Linked DNA regions of Ovis aries. The protein of the gene in region 2 purifies or fractionates together with the protein of the main gene of each other region. This does not show direct contact. Links are inferred from orthologs where the notes say so. Each region holds a gene or a part of one and is shown on either strand. Other genes may lie near its edges.

Evidence for each region.
Region 1: the proteins of TOP1 (region 2) and TOP2A purify together in Homo sapiens (co-immunoprecipitation; 4 studies listed by BioGRID and IntAct, with this or other methods). This does not show direct contact. The link is inferred for Ovis aries from reciprocal best matches to the Homo sapiens genes TOP1 and TOP2A.
Region 3: the proteins of TOP1 (region 2) and CHD4 purify together in Homo sapiens (affinity purification with mass spectrometry; 3 studies listed by BioGRID and IntAct, with this or other methods). This does not show direct contact. The link is inferred for Ovis aries from reciprocal best matches to the Homo sapiens genes TOP1 and CHD4.
Region 4: the proteins of TOP1 (region 2) and cyclin-dependent kinase inhibitor 2A purify together in Homo sapiens (affinity purification with western blotting; 3 studies listed by BioGRID). This does not show direct contact. The link is inferred for Ovis aries from reciprocal best matches to the Homo sapiens genes TOP1 and CDKN2A.
Region 5: the proteins of TOP1 (region 2) and PCNA purify together in Homo sapiens (affinity purification with western blotting; 3 studies listed by BioGRID and IntAct, with this or other methods). This does not show direct contact. The link is inferred for Ovis aries from reciprocal best matches to the Homo sapiens genes TOP1 and PCNA.
Region 6: the proteins of TOP1 (region 2) and SUPT16H fractionate together in Homo sapiens (co-fractionation; 3 studies listed by BioGRID and IntAct, with this or other methods). This does not show direct contact. The link is inferred for Ovis aries from reciprocal best matches to the Homo sapiens genes TOP1 and SUPT16H.

The regions. Positions count from the first base shown.
Region 1 is NC_056064.1:40,375,080-40,377,944, reverse strand, and holds the end of TOP2A (DNA topoisomerase 2-alpha), read left to right. Parts: intron 1-148; coding exon 149-289; intron 290-807; coding exon 808-1,157; 3' UTR 1,158-1,337; coding exon of another isoform or gene 1,338-1,466; 3' UTR 1,467-2,365; downstream 2,366-2,865. UniProt on the Homo sapiens protein: Key decatenating enzyme that alters DNA topology by binding to two double-stranded DNA molecules, generating a double-stranded break in one of the strands, passing the intact strand through the broken strand, and religating the broken strand.
Region 2 is NC_056066.1:69,751,757-69,755,256, forward strand, and holds part of TOP1 (DNA topoisomerase 1), read left to right. Parts: intron 1-1,107; coding exon 1,108-1,295; intron 1,296-1,554; coding exon 1,555-1,699; intron 1,700-3,500. UniProt on the Homo sapiens protein: Releases the supercoiling and torsional tension of DNA introduced during the DNA replication and transcription by transiently cleaving and rejoining one strand of the DNA duplex.
Region 3 is NC_056056.1:209,672,248-209,675,747, reverse strand, and holds part of CHD4 (chromodomain-helicase-DNA-binding protein 4), read right to left. Parts: coding exon 3,322-3,500; intron 3,238-3,321; coding exon 3,151-3,237; intron 3,059-3,150; coding exon 2,970-3,058; intron 2,869-2,969; coding exon 2,735-2,868; intron 2,399-2,734; coding exon 2,254-2,398; intron 2,142-2,253; coding exon 1,976-2,141; intron 1,940-1,975; exon of another isoform or gene 1,802-1,939; intron 1,724-1,801; coding exon 1,626-1,723; intron 1,519-1,625; coding exon 1,389-1,518; intron 1,135-1,388; coding exon 1,063-1,134; intron 590-1,062; coding exon 452-589; intron 213-451; coding exon 104-212; intron 1-103. UniProt on the Homo sapiens protein: ATP-dependent chromatin-remodeling factor that binds and distorts nucleosomal DNA. Acts as a component of the histone deacetylase NuRD complex which participates in the remodeling of chromatin.
Region 4 is NC_056055.1:90,755,901-90,760,043, reverse strand, and holds the start of cyclin-dependent kinase inhibitor 2A, read left to right. Parts: upstream 1-1,343; 5' UTR 1,344-1,672; coding exon 1,673-1,798; intron 1,799-4,143. UniProt on the Homo sapiens protein: Acts as a negative regulator of the proliferation of normal cells by interacting strongly with CDK4 and CDK6. This inhibits their ability to interact with cyclins D and to phosphorylate the retinoblastoma protein.
Region 5 is NC_056066.1:47,048,102-47,052,217, forward strand, and holds the start of PCNA (proliferating cell nuclear antigen), read right to left. Parts: upstream 2,801-4,116; 5' UTR 2,681-2,800; coding exon 2,460-2,680; intron 1,373-2,459; coding exon 1,275-1,372; intron 1,141-1,274; coding exon 1,073-1,140; intron 345-1,072; coding exon 150-344; intron 1-149. UniProt on the Homo sapiens protein: Auxiliary protein of DNA polymerase delta and epsilon, is involved in the control of eukaryotic DNA replication by increasing the polymerase's processibility during elongation of the leading strand.
Region 6 is NC_056060.1:24,113,821-24,117,827, forward strand, and holds the start of SUPT16H (FACT complex subunit SPT16), read left to right. Parts: upstream 1-1,207; 5' UTR 1,208-1,299; coding exon 1,300-1,365; intron 1,366-4,007. UniProt on the Homo sapiens protein: Component of the FACT complex, a general chromatin factor that acts to reorganize nucleosomes. The FACT complex is involved in multiple processes that require DNA as a template such as mRNA elongation, DNA replication and DNA repair.

The DNA.
Region 1 (2,865 bases), on a different chromosome or scaffold from region 2:
ACCCAGAAATTAGAACAAAGTTATAAGAGTGTGTTTGAAATATTCCAGAAAAGTCACAAACATGGTGTTTGAACAGGAATTCAGAGCAGGGACAAAGCACAGATTTTCATGTATTGCTTATATGTACTACTTTCCTTTCCATTTGAAGTAACAGAGCTTGATGCTGATGATGCTGAGGATAATGTACCACCTCCTCCAAGCTCTCCTGCTGCTGATTTCCCAGCTGTAACTGAAACCATAAACCCTGTTCCTAAAAAGAATGTGACAGCAAAGAAGACAGCAGCAAAAAGTGAGCCTCAGTCTTTGAATTGGGTTAATATTGGGATTATGGACAGAGAGGCCTGGCGTGCTGCGATTCATGGGGTCGCAAAGAGTCGGACACGACTGAGTGACTGAACTGAACTGAACTGGCTTCTACAAGTCAACTTCAAATTTTTATTCTCAAAATTTACTATAGATATTAAAATAAAGACTTTGTCTAAATGAAAACAAATCCTTAGATCTTTATAATCAAAATTGCTAGTCAAAAGATTTTTAAAAAGAGGGTTTCTCAAAATGCCAGGTGTTATCCTAACTCATATCTATGACAGGGATGGGACTTAGAAACAGTTACAAACATTTAACATGAAGCATGTAACTACAAAAAAAAATCGGATACTTAAGAATATTTCAATTCTCTCATGCATTTTCGTCTCAATTATGTTGTCTTTTCCTATGTTAAATATAAGCGGAAAACAAGTTGCTAAAGAAAGTTTGCTGTGGAAACAGTTCAGCTGAGAGTGACCCTGATGAATGCCTGTGTTACAGGTCAGTCTCCCACCTCCACTACAGGCGCCAAGAAAAGGGCTGCACCAAAAAGAACCAAAAAGGACCCAGACTTGGATTCTGATGTCTCTAAAAAGCCTAATGCCCCTAAAACCAAGACTCGCCGCAAAAGGAAGCCATCCTCCTCTGATGATTCGGACTCTAATTTTGAGAAACTGATCTCCAAAGCAGTCACAAGCAAGGTATTTATTCTAGTCAGCCCTTTCACTGTAGGTTTTTTTTTTCCACTGAAAAAAAGTTATTGTGAAACACATAATCAAGCTTTGCTGCTAATAATTTGGCACATTTTTAAGAAAATAAATGTAAATCCATTACCCTTTTACTCTGTGTAGTTTAGTTGTAAAACAGCTAAATGTCACTAATTAGTCAATGAGAGATTTGCCTTTGGTCTCTTTCTTACTACTTGTTAGAAGGTGGAATATTCCTTGAGTTGTAGTCTGTTGGTATATTTTTTGCATTGAAATTCTACTGTCTGGTTGATACTGGAAATTACTTGTGCTCTTCTATTTTAGAAACCCAAGGAGGAAAGCGATGATTTCCATCTGGACTTGGACTCAGCTGTGGGTTCTCGGGCAAAATCTGGAAGAACAAAGAAACCTATAAAGTACCTTGAAGAATCAGATGAAGATGATTTCTTTTAAAATGTGAGGTGACTATTTTAAGTAATGATCTTAAAGTTAGGTAAATGTCTCAGTTTCCTCCCCTCTGAATTTAGTTTGGGGAAGGCAGTTTTAGTTCAGGACCATTAAGGTGAAGTATGTAGAGCCCAAGTGTCCTTTATCTCTCTGTAATACTGTATAATACTGTGACCATCTCCTGGAAAGTGTTTTGTTTTCTTCTCTGCTTTGTATATGTATTTAGTCTGTTTTCTTTTGTCTTTTAAAGTATGATTTTAGGCTCTCCTGGCCTCTTGGGATAGTTGTGTGGTAACTTTAGCATAATGTAGTTTGACAGTTATTAAGCTAAAATTGGAGCCCTTTGACATAAAAGTTTCTGCTCTGCCTACTTTCAGTAAATATGAGATAGAGCATGATTAGTTCCTGTTTTATCTTAGTTTTATAAGCAATTTTCCATCAGATAGAACTCTTATGTAGTTCCAGTTCCAAATACTCAGCCTTTTATATGCTGAGTTTTTAAGCAGTGAAAAATTGTTTGTATTCTTCATATCCTTTTGAATATCACCAGAAGCTGAAGAAAAACACCATGGATGTATCTTTATAACAGTCAATAAAATGAAGAAAATTAGATCCTAAGTTGTGATTATCTCAGCACTTGACTTGTCCCCTCAGATTGCAAAGGAGTCAGGAACAATATTCTCAAAGAATATTGATGCTATCTACACTCAGCAGTGAGCTTTTATATCCATTTTGGGAAATCTCCATAATTTTCAATTTATAAACTTTTCAAGACCTTCCTGCATTCATTACATGTGTGTGACTTGAGTGATGTTATCAATGTTTTTGTAAATATTTACTATGTTTTTCTATTTAGCTTAATTCCAACTATTTTGTACTTTAATAAAACATTGTAAACATTGCAACCCTTGATTGTTGCCCTTTTTTCACCCTGCACTACATTCTTTACTTTAGTCTGAAATATATCCTCTTCACTATTCACTATAAAATAGCTTTGAGAACTATTCTCATCATTTTCTGATGTCCCTCATAACTCCTGGCCACAGTGATAGTTCTAAGAGAAAGGCACCATGACTAATGGCCAAGCAGATTTTTCCCTGAGCTTTAAACATGGGTGCTAAATTCATCTCTTCCACACTCAAACGGTGTTGACCCTCCATCAATAAATAGCTTTAAATATAAATTTCTATTCCCTAATTTAATAATATTTTGATAATCCAGTCGACTACTTGATGATATCAGTAAATTGGGGCAATTGGCTAATCACTGAAGGGGGAAAAAATGCTAGAAAGGCCCAAACCCTTCTCATCTTACAGGAAAGTCAAACTCAGACCTTTTTTCCCCTCCCCCACACACATTGCACACATTATGCAGGATCCTAGTTCCCTAACCAGGGATCAAACCC
Region 2 (3,500 bases):
GTTTACCTATTATCTATGGTCGCTTTCAGCAGTGGCAAAGTTGAGTAATTACAACAGAAACCGTATGGCTCTCAAGCCTAAAACATTTTCTATCTAGAAAAAGCTTGCCATTGCCCGATCTAGAGACTCAAGGCTGGAGTTTGACTTTTTTGGCTCAAAGCTGGGATCAAAAAAAAACAGGTTAGCAAAAAAAAAAAAAAACAAAAAAACAAAACAGGTTAGCAGAGGTCTGGAAGTTAAGTATTTTATATACCTGGCAGTTAAGTATTTTAAGGAATTCTTGGCACTTCAAAGCCTTAAATGTCAGTATCTTAGATTTACATGTTTATATAATTTAGGCCACTGTCTCTATGTAACTCACTGTTTGAGAGTACCTATTTGACCTTTGGTTTAAAAAACTAGTTACTACAGAGATGGTAAGAATGACACCTGCACCGTGCTTTTCAGTCTCAGTTTAGTCGTCTCAGTATTCCAAACTAGTGAGATTTATTTTATTTTTCACTTCAGGGGTGTTTTTCAAACTAAAATCCATGTCAGGAGGTTTTATAAGTATCACCATGTCAGAGCCTTGCCAAGGATACCTGTCACCAGCAGGTGAATCTTTATCTATGCCCAAGGCAGCAGGACTTAGTTTAAATCTAATTGCTGAGTATAATATCAATATGAGGGAAGGGTTAGCACAGGCTAAGGACGCTCCAAATCTTTCTCTCTTTTGGAGAAAGGATCGCAGTGTGAAATACATGTACCAATATACTAGTAAAGAATCAATAGCAAGTGTCTTTGTGCTGGAAACCCCGTGTGAAATAATGTTCATATGAGAATTTAAACTCGTAAAAAACTCTGGTTTTCCAGAAATTCCTTGGTGGTCCAGTGGTTAGCTTCTACTGCAGGGTGCCTGGGTTCGATCCCTAGTCAGGGAACAAGGTCCCACAAGCCATGCAGTGAAAAAGAAAATAATTTTCATAGGTTTTCCTTTATCTGAATTTGTTTCTTAGTGATTTTTAAACTTTTCTTTACCTGGACCTGTTCTCACACAAGAGCTAAGAAATGTGTAAGTAGAGAACAGTAGATTGAATCCCCTTTGAGTACTTTTTGGCTGTCTTCCAGAAAATCAAAGAGGAGAATGAAAAATTACTGAAAGAATATGGCTTTTGTGTTATGGACAACCACAGAGAGAGGATCGCCAACTTCAAGATAGAACCTCCTGGGCTTTTCCGTGGCCGCGGCAACCACCCCAAGATGGGCATGCTGAAGAGACGAATCATGCCTGAGGATATAATCATCAACTGTAGCAAGTGAGCACAGTTCGTCCTTTGGCCAGAAATGAAGTGGGTGGCTTCCTTTGTTCTCGGTAGTGTGGATTTTTCCCCCACATTACAGAAGACTGGGAGCAGCATGGTATTTCTGTGTATAGATCTTCAGGTGCTTATCATATATTGTCTGGTGAGGAGGAAGCTTGGAAATACATGCTCACAGATTCATCCACTTCCAGTGATGAAAAGTGAAATTGGTCACTACTTCCCACCTCACTGCTCTACTGCTTTATTTCCACAGAGATGCCAAGGTTCCTTCTCCTCCTCCAGGTCATAAGTGGAAAGAAGTCCGACACGATAACAAGGTTACTTGGCTAGTCTCCTGGACAGAGAATATCCAAGGTTCTATTAAATACATCATGCTGAACCCCAGCTCACGAATCAAGGTAAGTGGTAGCCAAGAGCTGCACCAGTTAGTGGAGCTGAAAATCTCTTGTCATTTTATTTGAAATCTAATGTCCTCAGCCTCTAGAATCACTTTGAGAAATTGAAAACCATCCCCACCCACAAAAAAGGGTACTTATCATAATTAGCATTATCTGGTGACCTCCCTAAGATGTTCCCATTTTCTACATCACATTGTAATCTTATTTATTAATTTGCAGATACTAATTGAAATCCCTGTATGAACCTGGCACAGTGTAGGCATGGTGCTAGGAATTACATTGGTAAATAAGACAGACACACAGTCCTTGCTTTTACATTGCTTACTGTCAAGTGGTCAGACTAATGAAAAATGTGGTAAATGTATATTGGTTTCTACAGCTAGTTATCTTCCTCTTCCTCACCTTTCTGGGCTCTGAAGAAAGGAATATAATTTCTCTGAATCCAGAAAGAGTTGTAAAATCTGGAGTCTTACATACTTTGTCTTCCTAAGTCTTCATTTGAGTAGATTCCACCAGGACTTAATGGGATAATGTTTGGGAAAGCATATCTTCAACTGTTGTGTACACGTGTGTTACTGTTTATTGATACTGTTATTGAAAAGAGAAAACTGTCTTGGAAGGACTATCAGTTCTTATTAGCCTGCTGGGCATACCCTGCTTGAATGAATCCCTCAGGTATACTGTGGAAATACGAATGTCAACTTAAGAGATGAGTTCCGCAAAAAAAAAAAAAAAAAAAACAGAATTAGTTCTGTATAGACTGACTGTTTATATTCAGGGCACTGAGAGTAAAGCCCCTCTTAATCTTGGTTTATAGTTTATTAAACACTTGTTAATATTTGAAAGCCACAGCTCAAAAGGCCATGTGTCTTTTCAAGACCAGACTGCACATTTTCTAGCTTGTAGTCCTGTGTCCTAATGAAAAATGCCACTGTGCATATGTTCTTCAGTGTAATTGGAAAATGACACTGTTCTTAGTTTAAAGTGAGCATGGAATCAGAAAGAGAACCCCCATGGCAAGTAAAAGTCAAAATCACTTTAAGAAACATGTTATATTCCTGTTCTGAAATACCGCAGAGCTATAGGGTGACCAAGGCAGATGAAAAGTGGTTTTAGCCCTGAAAGAACTTACGGCCTGCTGGGCAAATTGGGTGAGGAAACAGTTGTATTAGAAAGGTAAATGCTAAATGCTAGATAAAGGGAGCAGTTACTCCAGCAGTTAGAGAATAGGAACAACTTTTTAAAGGAAATTTGGTTGCAGTTAGGTCTCAAAAGAGAAGTATTTCAAAGAGCAGTGTGTCGTATGGACGGAGAGGAGGGGTATGAAAAAGGAGTAACAAAAGGAATTATCAAGTGATGGTTGGGTAACATTGTAAATATGCTAAATGTTGCTACTGTTGGGGTGAATTTTATATTATTCACACAGTAAAAAAAAATTATCAAAATGAAGGATGCTGGATTACTGTTAAAAAGTATTTTCATGTAAGTTGACATTTGATTCTTTTAATAACCATACCAGACATGTACTAATGCCACCATTTTACAGATGAATTTAGTCTCTGAGAGGCCAGATTGTGGCCAACCTTAAATGCCACACTAAAGTGACTGGACTGTGTTCTGCATTTGATGGAGAACCATTGACTTGGAACAGAGGAGTGTCTTGATCCGATATGCAGGCATAATGCTAATCACATTAGTGAATGTAAAGTGTTGTCAGTGCTGCAGAGGATACAGGGCACCATTTGAGAGTATACCAGAGCACCTGATCTGGCTTCCAGGGCCTAGGAAATGCCTTTTTAAG
Region 3 (3,500 bases), on a different chromosome or scaffold from region 2:
TTAATCGCTCAGGAAAAATGAAACAAGGGAAAGTAAGAACGTCCAACTGTGAGACCGGCAGAAATCCCACCAGAACCTTGGATCGGACTCAGGCAAAGGATACTTTATGATGCCAGCCAGTAGCCAGTAGTCATGGCGTCGGTGCCAGATCTCGTAAGTCTTCTTGGTGACGGTGGCTGCCCGCTCCTCATTCTGCCACAGAGAGTGCAGCTCTGAAGAGAGGTATGGGGAAGGGGGTAGAAACACAAAGGCAGACACCACTGAGGATTCAGCTACTCACTCCTGACCCCAGATACCAACTTACTGTGCCTTTGGCTTTGTAACAGGGACCCCAGAGGAGTGTGCCGTAGGCCTGGCATTCCCTCTAGGAGAGCTAAAGTCTCCGTACCTTGGTTTCTGACAAGAACCCTAATTTCACCTTGAATCTTTCCAGTGGGCCCTTTTTTCATACCAGTAAAACCACCATCTGCGATGTTGAACATGAAACGCTGTTTAATATTTTTCTTCTGCTTCTCATCATTCAGGTCCTTCGGGGTCTCTCCATTCTGAAGCATCACCTCTTTTTTCTCCTCTTCTTCTTTCTTCTCTTCTACAGAACAGGCAGAAAAGAAATGTCAGCTCTAGACAGAAGACAGCACCATGGCCCTTACCTGTACATATAGCACTGTGTGCTACAAGACCACCCATCTACCTCCACCCTTTCTCCACGTGTTTTTATATTTATATAAATATTTATTTGGCTGCGCTGTGTCTTAGTTGCAGCACGTGAGCTCTAGTTCTCTGACCAGGGATCGAACCTGGGCCCCGTGCGTTGGGAGAGCAGTCTTAACCACTCGACCATCAGGGAAGTCCCCGCGTATAACTGTTTCTTAAACCCACAAAAAGGTGCCACCAGCCGCTGACCGTCACAGGAAGGGAGGGGGGGAGTGTTTTAGCTTGGGATAAGATGATTATATCAATATTGATAGGGAGCCTGTGGGTGGAGGAGTGTCTGGGAGACAAAGTTCTTCCTTTCAGAAATAGAGTCCTTTTACAGTACAGTCGGCTTCTCCAAACACCCACCTTTGTCCTCCACCACAATGGGAGTCAGATCGACTGCTGCCTTCTCCTCCACCTTCTCCACATCAGCATTACCTGGGGGGAACAGACAGCATTGAGAACATATCTAAAGAAGAGTGCTCCCCACCTCTGTTATATCTGAAATAGTCGTAAACCAAATCTTAATGATTAAAAGTCATAAAAGATGTCCTGAGGGAGAAAAAAGCCCACAGTTAAACTCAGGGATGAAAGCGTCTTCCGTGTGTCAGTTCCTCTGGACTGCCTCTAGCCAGGCTACAAGTCGAAGTCCTTTGGTTCGCAGAGTCTGCAGGGCACGCAGATGGACATACCTTTGGGATCTGTCTCCATTGCTTCCTCTGTTCTCTCCTTGACCTCTGCCTTTTCCACTTTCTCCTCTCCCTCAGGAGGCTCCACTGGGACTTTCTCCTCCTCTGAGGCAGGGGCAGGGGGCTGTGCACACTTCAAAAGAGAGAAAACAGAGGTTGAATGAAGCAGACGGGCCAGCCCCCCAGAGGGAGAATGGGCCAATCCCGCGGCCTCCAGTGTGGCGTCTGTCACCCTCTCACCTCGACAGCGGCCTCAGGGGGTGCAGACTTCACCTCCTTCTCTGCCTCTGCACTCTCTTCTTCTTTGAGGTTATTCTCCTCTACTTTAATCCCATCCTCTGCAGGCCAACAATAGACATTAATTAAGAAGGTCCCAGATCACAGAGAAGGTCATGTCTCAGTCTGTCTCATCTTAAACTGTCCTCTCGTGCCTTTAAGAGCCAGCCCTATTCTCAGGACGGCCCTCCTAAACTGAGAGGGAGCTTGCTGTGCGTCCTGCCAGAGTCCCCTGAGAACTGAGCACAGGGGAGCAGAAAAACCACAGGCCAGGACAAGAAGAGAACAGAGGACCACTGCCCAGGAGCACTCACCGGCAGGCGGGGCAGGAGCTGGAGTATTAGGCTGTGTGTCCCCAGGGGTGGAGGGGGTAGGAGTCTTTGGGGAAGGTGACCCTGGCTGGGACATCTTCTTATTTTCCTCTACTTCTGCAAGTTCAGGCATGCTCCAGCGCCCGTTAACGTGTTCAAACTCCTGAACCTGCAGCAATGGGACAAGAGGCTGGAGACCCAAGTCCAACTAGGCTCCTTCCCTGCTGGCTCTCCAGCTCCCACTATAAGCCCTGGATCACAGAGGGAGGCTCAGGGCTCACCTTCTTGCGAATCAAGGACATAACCCCAATCCGAGTAAGGACATGCTGGCGAGACAGGCCTTCTCGGGGGACGCCATCAGCAAAGGTCTCAGCCCCATCTGCTCCTGGCTCACATAAATGCCGCATAAAAAGTGAGACATAAGCCCTGTGGTAAAGAAACAGAGAAACAGGTTAAAGAGCAGCCAGCTCCCAGACCAGACTCCTTCCCACCCGCAGGGCAGTCAGGCCTCATGCTGGAGGTGACTGTGGCTCCATGTGAGGTAAAGCCCGCCGCGGTGCTAAGAGCTGGTCTCCAGACCCTGTCCCGTGCTCCAGGTCCTCTTCTGGGGAAGCAGGGAACAGAGAGACCTATTCCTAGCAGCTGCACTTCCAGCTTCAGCAGGAGACACAGACTGCCTCCTGGCACAGCAGGCTCCAGTGTGCAGAAAAACCCAGACTCAGAGGCCTTGCTTTACAGTGCTCACCCAAGCACTCAACTTACTTGAATTCCTTCTCCGATTTGCCTCGCAGATCCCTCACAAGCCACTGGGTGGTGAAAGCATCCTGAGGGGGCATCCCATAGCGCATAATTGCATTAAGAAAGGCTTTTCGCTGACGAGCATTAAAACCAAGAACCTGGGGGCAGAAGGAGCCAGGTGAGAGGGAGGCAACCCAACTCCCCCAAGACCCGACAGCCGCTCGCACCCACCCTGCTCTAGGAACCGAGCGGTACTCACTTCAATATTCCCACCAACACGGGCCAACAGAGGAGGCAATGGCTTATCTTTATCATTCCGCAGGCCCTTACGACTGGGCCTACGGGGAGCTACAAAAAGAAAAGGACGTGTGAGCGATGCCAATCGGGATGTTAGACACAGCAACAGGTAAAAGAATCCAACAGAAAGGCAAGGGCCTCACCTTCTGAACGTTCATCAAAGTCTTCATCACCTTCCTCTGAGGCCACCGAATAATCGGACTGGTTGTCGGACTGGTCGTCCTGCCAATCTGGAGGGAGAGAGGGCAGATGAGCGGGGCCCACTGCTCTAGTGGAACGGCCCATGGGTGGGGGGCGGGGCCGGCCACACACACCTCGGTCCTCCTGCGAGCCATCATTGTAGTTGACCTGTTTACGAATTCTTTTTCCTTTGCCCAGGTTTCGGGCCAGATCTTCTTGCTGCTGCTCATAATGGTGTCGCAGCAATTTCTCCCAGTAGTCGGGATCCACACTTTCTTCCTGTTTTATGATCTCCCGTTCCACCTCCTCTTCC
Region 4 (4,143 bases), on a different chromosome or scaffold from region 2:
CCACATCATTGTTGCTCTCATACTTGAGAGGTGCCTGGAGGAAAATATACATAACACAGTGATGCATTGTGGATTTTATAATGGACTTGACTTCCCAGTCCCATAAGTGTTTTAATTGTCATTATTTAAAACCTCATGTGTTGCCTAAACTAACAGCCACTGAAAGTATAGTCAAGTATTATGGGTCTTCAAGAGGAGTCAAGTAGGAATTGAAATATAACTTTTAAAACAGAGCTGGGTTATCTAGCAGACAGATTAAACATTAACTTTTCATTAAATATGTCGGTCACTGGAAGATGTCCATCATTGTTTCAGTGATTAAGGTTTTCTTGCCTGCCCTTTTATATGTAATATTGATAATTCTACCTAAACCATTTCCTTCTCTGTCTCCTAGATTGCAAGAAAATCTTCAAAATGGATGTTAAGAGCTAACAGGCATGAGCTTAGGATGTGTGATACTGTTCTAAATGCTTATGTGTGTATCAATTCATTTAAAACTCAAAACAGTCCTAGGAAGTAGGGACACCTCTTATTCCCCCCTCCATTTTATAACTAAGAAAAGTGTAAGGTTTTTCTAACAGGAAGGAAAGGTGGACAGAAGTGGCACCAAGACAGTGTGTGAGCCTGCTTTCTGAATCATCTCCGAATGCAGCCCTGTCCCTAGAGCAATGAGCATGTTTTCTGGTGTAGGAGAAATTATTGAGAACAGAGCCTACTAAGCCCAAGGATACCCTTGCCACTTTCCTATCTGCGTACAGGTAGAAATCTCCACCATCCCTTTTAAATTGACCTCATCTGCTCGGAGCCAGCCCGTATACTGGGCACTAGTACCAGGCATTGTGCAAGCCTAGGAAACGCTCTCCCCCGACATCCGTTTTACATGTGTGTGGAGGGAGGGAGGCACAGCCTGGCGCGTGAGCCAGTTCTCCAGAAGGGACGTTTGAGCTAGAATTTCTGGCATAATCGAGCCAGCGCTCGAAAACCTGGTGCTGAGCGTTGGAGGGGGAGTGTATCCTCTCCAAGAAGGAAAGCCTCATGGTGGAATGGCTGATACCTATCCTGGGCGCTCGGGGCCAGGACAAGCTGGCTGTTTCTTCTGATTAAAAGAGGAAGCAATAACTTTGCCTATGACTCCAAACACACTGGTTCGAACTTGGCAGTTAGGAATCCTATGCAGTTGTCTCACGCCACTCAGGGTGTATACGCGAGGAATTTTCACTTGGCTGGAGTGAACTCGCTCGGAGCCGCGCGTGCGCCTCTGATGGGGGTGGGGGCGCGCTGCGCGCGGACGCGGGGCGGGGGGCGGGGAGGAGGTCCCAGGGCGCCCTCCTTTCGCGGTCCCGTCGCGCTACCGGAGCGGACAGCTTCCGGCCGGTGCCTCGGGTCGCGTGGGCGGCAGACCTGTGACCGAGGAGGCCCGGCGGGGGCTACTTCATAGACGTCTTGTTCGTTAGGAGCAAAGGGCGCCTCCTGGAAGAGCGCGTGGAGGGCGCTCCCCGGGTGGAAAGACTCCTCGGGAGGAGTCGAGGGGCCGAGTCTGGGGGCCGCTTCCGCCAGCCCCGTAGGAGGAAAGAGGAGGGGCGGGCTGCTCAGGAGCAGCCTGGGCGGGCCGCCCGCGCTCGACGCAGGCGGGAGGAAGGGAGGGAGCGAGGGGCGAGCTTTGGGGAGCAGCATGGAGACCTCGGCTGACTTGCTGGCCGCCGCCGCCGCGCGGGGCCGGGCTGACGAGGTACGGGCACTGCTCGAGGCTGGAGCGTTGGCCAACGCGCCGAACCGTTACGGTCGAAGCGCGATTCAGGTGGGTCAGCAGGTCTGCCGCGGAAAGGTGGGCGGCTGGGTGGGTGGGTGGATGGCGAGAGGCTTTGGAGGACGAGGTCCGCCAGTGAGTCGGAACCAGGTAAGCGTTTCTTGGTAAAGGGGAGACTTTTCAGACCGAGTTCGGGATCGGAGACCTCTCGGCGACTCTCAGGGGGCTCAGGACGGCCGCGGAGCTGGCTGAGAAGGCGCGTGGGGTTCAGATCTCTAAAACGGTGTGAAGATCTAGAAGGGAGAACCTACGTGTGTTAATATAGACCGATATGCGAAATTGACGAACGTCTGGAGTACGAGTATAAAGACAGTAAGACATGCTGGACCACTTACTCCCGAACTTATAAAATTGTGAATGGAGCTGATCGACTTCTTTGTTGGGGGGGGAGGGGCGGTGAGAGGGAGATTTCAGTGGAAATCTACTGCTGTGTAAGTTGGAATAAAGGTCGATTGAAATTATTCAGAAGCAACCATATATCGTGTTTATTATTTTTTTTTAACCGAGTAAGGAACATATATGCTTGTTTAGGAAATAGACATACATGAAAAAAAAAATTAGTGCAATTATGCCTGAAATAATGCTGCCAATTTAGTTACCACTTGAGTGTCTCTTACCTTTTGGGGTATTTTAAACTTACTTGGTATACATTAATTTCCTGGGAAGTTTTCAGTTCCTCATAGTTTAAAAAATGTCATTTCTCCTCTCCCCACTCCAGTTTTGTATGTGTGAGGATGAGTTGTGAGTTCGTTTTTCTGTGTGTGTGTGTGTGTGTGTGTGTGTGTGTGTTTTGCCTTCACTAACTTCCTAAATCTGGGGCTAAAAATAAATTCTTCCTGGCAGTCACTCCAGTTTTATTCCAGGTTTCGACAACGATTTCTGATTCTGAAAAATAATATTTATATGAAATGTACACTGCAAAAACTCCAGCATAACAAGACAAAGGAAAAGTAACTCAACCTGGAACTTAACAAGTGATTTCACAAGCGAATCGTCCTTTCCTCAAACTATGCTACATAGAACAGATATATTTTATATACTTTTAGATACAAAAATAAAAATAAAATATCCTCAAATCTGAGATTATTTGGGATTTGAAATGTGGAGAGATTTGGAGATTAAAAGGTTGAATGGTTGTAGAAGAGAAGCATGAGTTCTTTTTTTAAAAAATGCATGCATGATTCATAATTGGATATCTCTAAAGTTTTGCCAGCAGTTTGCAGACTGGGTGTTACAGCCTTCTAGTTCTGAAAGATGTTATATTAGACTTTATTGTTTAAATACAAAAAGAAAGATAATTAATTTTAAATTATTTTTAAATAGGATAAGGGCATCGACAAAAGGGATATGATTTTAGTTTTGAACCCTAACCAAATTTGTGTTTAAAAATACTTAGTTTATAGAAAAATTTTAATGACTAAATTAAATTTATATCTTCAGTTTGACTTAAGTACCCTAGAAATATTCATTTGAATGATTTTCTTTTTGCTTTGGATTGCTACTATGATTTAAATATTATGTTACTTTTCATACTTTAATACTGTAGCATATAATAATACCTTTAACCAATTTAATGACTAAGACCAAGGACTTCATTTATCCAACCCATGTAATATATTTTCACCTGCATTATATACAAGCATGGAAGGAGACATACATATATATATATGAGCTCTGGCACTTATAGTAGAGTTTCCAAAAGATTATGGTGTCCTTGGGTGTGGCCCCTTTGTTTTGGAAATTAATTCATAATCCATGAGAAATCCAATAGTGTAAATTTCCCCAGTTTTTATTTTAAAAAATTCTTTCTTCTAATGCACTGTTAGTTTTCCTTTTTGTAGCTGCAAGTTGGTTCACTTAAATTTTCTCTGTGGTTTTTTTTTTTTTTTTAATTAAATCAGTTTCACTTTCTCTAGGATAGAACTCAACAAGCATAGTATAACTTGTTAAGATTCCTTGGTTTGAACAAATTAATTCAAGTTTAATACAGAACTCAACTAAAAATAAATAATTCCTCAATATAGTGTAGCTAATGTAACCAAATAATGGTTACCCTAAAAAAGAATGTTCTATCACCTCCACCCAATGTATAACACTCAAATTGCAAAGTTGCTGTGATTGTGAACAATATTTCAAAATTCCTCTTTGGTAATGCTCTTGTATCATCAAAGATTATTTAGGAACCAAATGAAGTGAGCACCTCCTCTTTAATGAAGTCTGAGTGTGATCTTGGAAGGTGTCTTCCTATTTCTGCTATAACAAATTACCACAAATTTAGTATCAACATAAATTTATTATCTTATGGTTCTGTAAATCAGAATTCTAAAATGGGTCCA
Region 5 (4,116 bases), about 23 Mb from region 2:
GGCTGCTGTCTTCTTAAATGAAGAAGCAGGCCCTCGTCAGACACCAAATCTGACCCAGTCTATGGTACTTTGAAACAGTAGCCTTACCAAACTAGGACATAACATAGTGTAATTCTTCAAAGTATTTTGTTTACTTGAAAACTACTTACAGCTTCCTCCTCTTTATCAACATTACTCGTCTGTGACAATTTAATATTTCCATTTCCAAGTTCTCCACTTGCAGAAAATTTCACTCCATCTTTAGCACAGGAAATTACAACAGCATCTCCAATATGACTGAGATCTCGGCATATACGTGCAAATTCACCAGAAGGCATCTTTACTACACAGCTATACTCTTGTTCCTATAAAACAAAGAAATGTAAAGGTCATGGAAATGAAAGATTTGGCACCCTCACTTCCTGAAGATTCAACATCTAAACAAGAACTCACAATTCAAGATTTTCTGATTACTCTGAAATATCACTCATTGTGCAATTTCTTAACATTCTACTAAAAAAAATGCAGATATAAAAAAGAATAATCATCATCATACTAAGAAACCAATTAGAACTTAAACTTTTAAAAGTAAATGCACTATCCAGGGAACAAGAGCCTCCAGCTAATCACTCTATAGGAGGTCTAAATCAAGAAGACATTAGTATATGGCATACAAATGGTAACAGCACAAATAGGTTTGCTTTCCAAAACAAGAGCGTGTTAGGCATTGTAAACATCTGAACACATCTTCTTTTGATGTTGATAAAACCTAACCATAATGAATTTCTGCTAAAATAGCTTTAAAATCTCAATAAAAATCAAGCACTCTAGGAATAATAATTTTTTTAAAAGATGCAGAGGTTAATGCAAATATGTCCTTGGCAGCAATGAATTCAAACCATAGCACTGTAGAACACCATAATTTAATAAAATGACAAATATATCAGTCTAAATACCCTACTCTGGAATATACATGAGCAGATATACAGAAAAGTTCTATTAGGAAGTAGGCTTTAAATTATTATATAAATATATGTTATGTAACTATCATAACTGTGTACAGCATGCTCAATCAGAAACTTTTGATACTCACTGGAATTCCAAGCTGTTCAACATCTAAATCCATTAACTTCATTTCATAGTCTGAAACCTTTTCCTGATCTACCAAAAGAAAGCAAATTTGAAGAAAAACACGTAAATTTACAACTAAGAGGTATATTTTACAATCATCAGACTTGGGAAATACACTGCATTTTAGTTTCCTCTGCCATAACTCAGTAGAAGGGTGGACTTACTTGGAGCTTCAAATACTAGTGCCAAGGTGTCCGCATTATCTTCAGCCCTTAAGGTAATGATGTCTTCATTGCCAGCACATTTTAGTATTTTGGACATGCTAGAACAGAGAAGACAAAGGGTTTTTAAACACCATCTTCTCAAGATCGTTAGTTTTCTAATGGAATTAAAATCAGGAGTTACCACTTTTAACCATTAGTTGCAGTTGTTTAGAGCGTAAGTGGTGTCTCCTGGACTGCAGCCTATCAGGGTCCTCTCTCTGTCCATGAGATTTCCCAGGCAAGAATACTGGAGTGGGTTGCCATTTCTTTCCCCAGGGGATCTTTTCCACCCAGGGATCGAACCCTCATCTTCTGCATTGGCAAAGTGATGCTTTACCAGTGAGCCACCAGGGAAACCCTTAACCAGTATGCCATCTGTCAGATTGGTGAGTTAGGAAAACGTACTGCACGGGGGATATGCAAGCCGGTCCAGACACTTTGGAATGCAATCTGGCAGTATAAACCCAAAAGGCCCACAACATACCAAAAGCAATTTCACTTCTGGATATAAATAAAAGAACAACATTTTATGAATTTCGAGTGGGTGAAGTAAATTATCGGGCCAACTATCTTTAAAAATGATCTAATAAACCTATTAAAGTACACGGCATGTACTATGGGTATTTATCATAAGCTTTAAGATTTAAACATGTGTAGTTCAAAAATTGAACGCCATTGCCCTGGAGAAAATTTTCAAGTCCAGGATCTTAGGGTGCTCACCGCAACTTTGCAGTAATAAAAGAAATACTCTGGTCCCTAGATAGTGTGACAGAACTAGGATACACTATAAAGCACTTTAAGTCAACCAGGACCAAGGTTTCTCATCCAAGTTGCTTGCACTTAACGACCAAAGCGTTCTGCAACAGTCTTTTCCTGAAACCGCAAAGTCCATCATTTTCCCGCCACCACACGCTTTGTGACTTTGGCGCGGAAAACAGCCGGTTCGCTGTTCGCGCTGCAGCCAGCGCGGGCTTTGCAAACCGCGCGCTCTGCTGGGTCCCGCCACCCGCCCAACTCCGCAGCAGGCCAATGAGAAGACGCAGATGGCCCACGCCAGCCAATGAGGGCCCGGCTCGTAGGAGCTCGCGCCAAGAGCCAGAGGTAGGAGCGGACCATGGCCCGGATGTCCGAGGCTTTGGAGCTCACCTGGTGAGGTTCACGCCCATGGCCAAGTTACGGTCGCAGCGGTAAGTGTCGAAGCCCTCGGAGCGAAGGGTTAGCTGCACCAAGGAGACATGAGACGAGTCCATGCTCTGTAGGTTCACGCCACTTGAGCTGATGTCCCAGCAGGCCTCATTGATGAGATCCTTAAGCGCCTCCAGCACTTTCTTCAAGATGGAGCCCTGGACCAGGCGCGCCTCGAACATGGTGGCGGAGTCGCAATGACACGGCTACAGGTACAAGGAGTGAGGAATGTGTAACCGGCTTAGGCTTCAGAGGATGAGAGCGAGAGGCAAAACACGATTACGAACGCCTGAGACGCCTCTAACAGCTAGCCGCGCCTGCAGCCGTTTAATACTGCCGCGTCTGCTAGCGCGCGCTACGTCTCCGTGCCCCTTGTTGATACGTCATCACGCTGCCCTCCCGCTGCCTGGGCGGAGAGACTGTAAAGCCAATCCTGTCCCTGCACTGCACGAAAGCCGCCCCACCCCGAGCATCCATTGGAGGATGCAGGTATGGGGGCGGGGCAGGAGCGCAGCGCTTCAGGGGCCCAGCAGATAGGCGTGCGCTGGAGTCTTGGCCGTTTTGTCATGTTCCGGCACCCGTAAGAGGAGTCCTTGTGAGTGTGAAAATCAGTCCTAGGCTGGGCGGGAATGGTCGATGAGCTGCGACGCTGTGCTGCCTCATCAGCCTCCCGCGTGAGGGGTAGAAAATTTACAGCCCTGAGTGAAACGTAAATCCAGGCTCTGTGCTCAGTCGCATCGGTTTGTCTGACTCTTTAGGAAGAAAAGCCACCTTTTCTTTAGCTGTTTGAAGGGAGGTACAGTTATGATTTAAAAAAAACAAGAAAAGTTATCTCCCTACTACCAGCTCTTAAAGCTCCTCCGCCACCTACACACAAATTGATATCATTTATTCTATGTAACTTTCTAAGTTTTTTTTCCTCTACAAGTATATATCTTTTAAAAAACAAAAATGAGTTCATGCCATAAAGAATTCAGCAAAGTGCTTACTAAAGTATGTTTAATTTTATGCCAGGTTCATGTTTTGTTTATCAGCACCTCTTAAAAAGATGGCATCATATCCTACAAATGTAACCTAACCTAACTGCCAATCTCTTGTAATTCGGGCAACTCCTTGAAGTAGTATTGTTGGATAGAGGAGCATACGCATTAAATTTTTGATAAATGTTAACTAAGTTGACTTCTAAAAGATTGTAATTTACATTCCAGCCAAGACTATGAGCATGCTCCTTGCCTCTAATTTTTCTGTTACTGGCAATCTAATTTTTAAATCTGTGCTCGTTTGTGTGGAAATTTCAATTTGCATATTAAAAGACTGGTGCAAATTGGATATCTTTCATACAGTTCTTGACCATTGCATGTTTATATTTTTTCTATTAAACTTTTTTCTGATTGATTAAAAGCATTTCATATATTAACCATCTCCCTATTATGAATATTCTCCCTTTGTTTCTTTTTTCCTTTGTTTACAGCATTTCTTTTTAGTTACTTCTAGTGTTTTACCTTGGTCTGTAGAATTCTTTAGTCTTTCTATCATGTATAGTGTGGATGTGGTTTTATTTATCCTGTTCATGGAATTTTTGTATTCCTCGGCCGAAAGATTGATGCATTTCATCAAA
Region 6 (4,007 bases), on a different chromosome or scaffold from region 2:
AGCCTGTTCCTGACCGAACTGTGGATACAGCTGGAGGGTCAGGAACTGTTACCTTCCTTCCCCTTGGCATTAATAAATTTAAGTTAATCCTTTCCCACTCTTCCCTCGTTCTATATTTGCTCAAACCCAATATAAATATTACCAGTTGATGTTCATGATGGGTAATTTCAACACCACTTTCTTAAAGTTCCTTACTGTTAATGTGTGAAGTTACCTTGGATAGGGCAGACAAGTCATCCTTACTCAGTGAAAAGCTTGTACATAAGCATAGGCTTTTGACCTTGCCAAATTATCTAAGCTAAAATAGTAGGCAAAATGTTCCCAGATTCAAAATCCCCAAGTTCTCCAAGAGATGAGAAAGAAGAATTTCCATCAAGACCCACGTACATTTTGTTTTGAATTAACTGAAATTGTTTCGGGGAAGGCGTAAAAATGGTGTCACTTCATGAACTGTGGCAGGGGACTGGCTGGCTGGAAGGATGCTGTCACGGCTTGAGCTCGCATTTGTTTCCTATGACTCCTCCCCTAATCGTCCTAGCGCTCAAATGAAGCCTGGGCATTTAATTTCCCTTTCAAAGGTGAAGTCCTTCCCCCGTGGCGCGGGCCTAAGTTCAGTTTATCCGCAGGATGTGCTCCCTCTTACCGGCTTGAGCTCCCTGTCTGCCTGGAGCCCCTAACCCAGCGTCCTATCACCAGGCCTGGAGGGGCAGAGGCTTTTGCTTCCCCACATTTTCTAGGAGCGAGAGAAATCCAGTTATGCTGTAGGCTTCCCACTCCCACCCCAGATCCCGCTCTCCGTTTCCCCTTCCTTTGACTATGGGTGGGGCCATTGCACCCGCGCGCGGCAGTTTGTATGGGGCGGGGCCGGCACGTCAAGACTCCCGCCTCCTCAGTGTCCAGCCGCCGCCGCCGCCGCCTCCTCGACACGGAATCGGCGCTCCTGGAGACTTCGGCCCCGGGCAGAGTAAGGGCGGGGGCAGAGCATCACGTGATGACGTCGACTCGCGTGCGGCTGTTGCTAAGTTGACAAGAAAACCCCGCGAAAATCTGGGCTTTTTTTGCGTTGCATGTTTTGTTGCTTTCCCACTCTTCCTTCCTCTCCTCCCCCTAACCTCCGGAGGAAGGATTTTTTTAAAAAAGAATTCCGACCGCTGCCGGGACCCGGAAGCGGAAAGGGCATCTCTGAGGTCGATACTTCCGGGTCACTGGGAGAGTGCGGGATTCCGGGGCCGAGAGAGGGTGGCGGAGCCGGGACCTCGCGTGATTCTCGGAACCCGAGGAGAAGCGGCGTCTGTGGCTATGGCTGTAACTCTCGACAAAGACGCTTATTATCGACGAGTGAAGAGACTGTACAGCAATTGGAGGGTGAGATAGATCCCGTAATTTCCCCAGGGAGCCCCCCTTTGCCATCCCATAATAACCCCGTTTCTCGGCGCCTTTTTTCCCCTTTCCGTCAGGAATTCCCGGGTTCAGGGTCGTGCCCATTTAGTTGCTCCAGGATCATTCACCGTAGACGACCCCAAGCGCCACCCTGTAGCAGGGAATCCCCCCCGTAATCACCTTACCCTGCGGCCACCACCATCTTCCCCGCGTGCCTGCCCCCGTCATGCATAACAGCCACCTCTCGTAGTTTCTTCCCGCCCTAGAAGAGGCATCATCATTCTTCCCTCCCACTCCGTGATCACGTCTTGCTGCCCCCTCCTCCAGTGTTCATACACACCCACGCACTCGCTCTGTCCTTCCAGAACCAGAGTGTTGTGCCCCAGGTCCCGCCAGAATTACAACCATTTCGTCAAGGATGGATGGAGGGGCCAGAAGGATGAGAATCGGGCTCTTGGCGTTTACCATTTGCGTTGCTCTTGCTGGAGTTAAAAAAAGACATACTGCTCACGCGCAACCGCCTCCTGTTCTAGGCCCTGCCGTGGGTAACACAGAAATCTAACGCTGAAAACCTGCAGGTTTTGGTAATGCAGAAAAACGATGTGATGCTTAAAACCTTATTCGTTTTCTCCGTGGTTGAGGATCCAGGGCACGTGTTTAGAAAAAGAGCTGTTACCGTTTCTAGTCTAAGGATTGGGTATTATTGATTACTTGGAAAAGTCCGCAATTAAAATTTTATTTTTGTGATGGTAATTTATCAGTTCAAACATTTGATTGCATCCTGTGGTGTCTTCTGAGCTATCCAGCTGAAGTATGACCTCTGAACTGTTGTCATTCAGGGAAGATAAAGCTAAAGAGGGCTTTTTAAAACCTGAAGAGCATCCTGACAAAAATGATCAGTTCTGACTTCAGCATTGTAAATTGCCTTTGAAACTGATCTACTAAAAACTAAGCTATTAAAATTGATCATTTGCCTACCGTTCATACTAAAGGTTCCTGTGCACGTTTTATCTTTTGGGCATAAATGGATTAGATGATTGAAAATAAAATGGGTTTTATGCATTTTATAAGCACAACTAAGGACTATGCTAGACAAAAGCTGAAATAAATTTACTTTTAAAAATTTTATTGGTTAATTTCTACCAGATGTTTTTATAAGTTCTCTCACTGTCATGTTTTTAAAGTTTGAACGTAATCCATATTAAAAATACTTTTCTAAATGCCCAGATATTTCCTGAAGATTAATAAGTACTATGATGTGAGTAATAATCAAATGCCTGCTCTTCCACTCATAGACCCCTCACACACCTTTGCTATAGTGGTTGTTTCTAGTCCCAGTGATTCAGAAGTTGATCAGATAACCCTATCTAGACCATTCACTGAAGCTAAAATTAATTTAGAGCTCAAAGTTCCCATACATGGTAGATAAATGCAAAGCATGTACTAGGGAAATACTTGAGGCCTAAAGACCCGTTGGTAAACTCAATGTCGATGACAGTCTTTAAATCCATGAAAGTTAAGTTATTGGCCCTATTTTTTTGTTTGTTTCTCAAATGCTAAAATTTATCTTGGCCCTTCTATCATTTGAAAGGAGCATGTTAAATGATAAGATCCTGATCTTACAAAGTTACAAGCCAGTATAAAAATGTACTTGGCAAAATTTGTCATGTCGTTATGAAAAATCTTATTTGAATAGACTTCCTGCCTTGTTATAACTGTGAGTTTTAATAACTGTGCTTAGACCCCACCTGTCGAATTGCTTTATGCAGTCTTCCAGGTTACAGCACTTTATCCCGACCTGCTTAACTAAAGATCGTGGTTTCCGGAATAAGTTCTGGTTGCTTATCCTCTTAGGTGCAGCAGGAAAATAGTGAAATACACAGGGGCAAGCTATATTTGCTTTTCTACACTTATTCCTTTTTTGAGTAAGAAAATTGGCCTTGAAATAATAATAACTTGTAGTTAATTATAGAAATCCCAAAACTTGTGTTGTCCACTCCCATCTTCAAAGACAAAAATTAACTAAAAAACTAGTTTAGACTCCGTTCCCACTTGTAAGTTTTAAATACCCTTAAAGCATTAGCCTTACAGAATGGTGTGGTTGCTTCTTGTAACTCCAGTGCTGTTCACACAACTACCTAGAGTTGTAGAGCATGTAAAGGCTATTTTTTTTTCTTTTTTAAAATAAGAGTAGGAACTAATGTGTTTCCTCATCTCCTTTATCTGCAAGTTGATTTTAAGGTACATTTTGTGAGGCTATTGTAAATAAGATATATCTCTTAATTACAGTTTAATTATGTCCCGAAAAGAGTTGGATTATCACACACTTCCTTTTTTGAGTAGAAATTTTTCAAACCTTAAACCTTATACCTGAGTGAATAGTGTTATTTTAGGGATAAGATAATGGGCTTTTTTTTTTTTTTTAATGAGAACTGCTACAGCAGGAAGAGTTTGCAGCACCTTTCTGTCTCTGCAGTAGAGACCCCTAGGTAGTGACCCTGGGTGGTGAGCATGAGCTTCTCCCCTGTCTTCTTATACTTACTGGGTCCTTATTCAGAGCTTCCCAGTCTTTTCATGACTGTGATTGTTTTTAACCAAGTGATAGGATTAGTACTTCATGGGGGTAC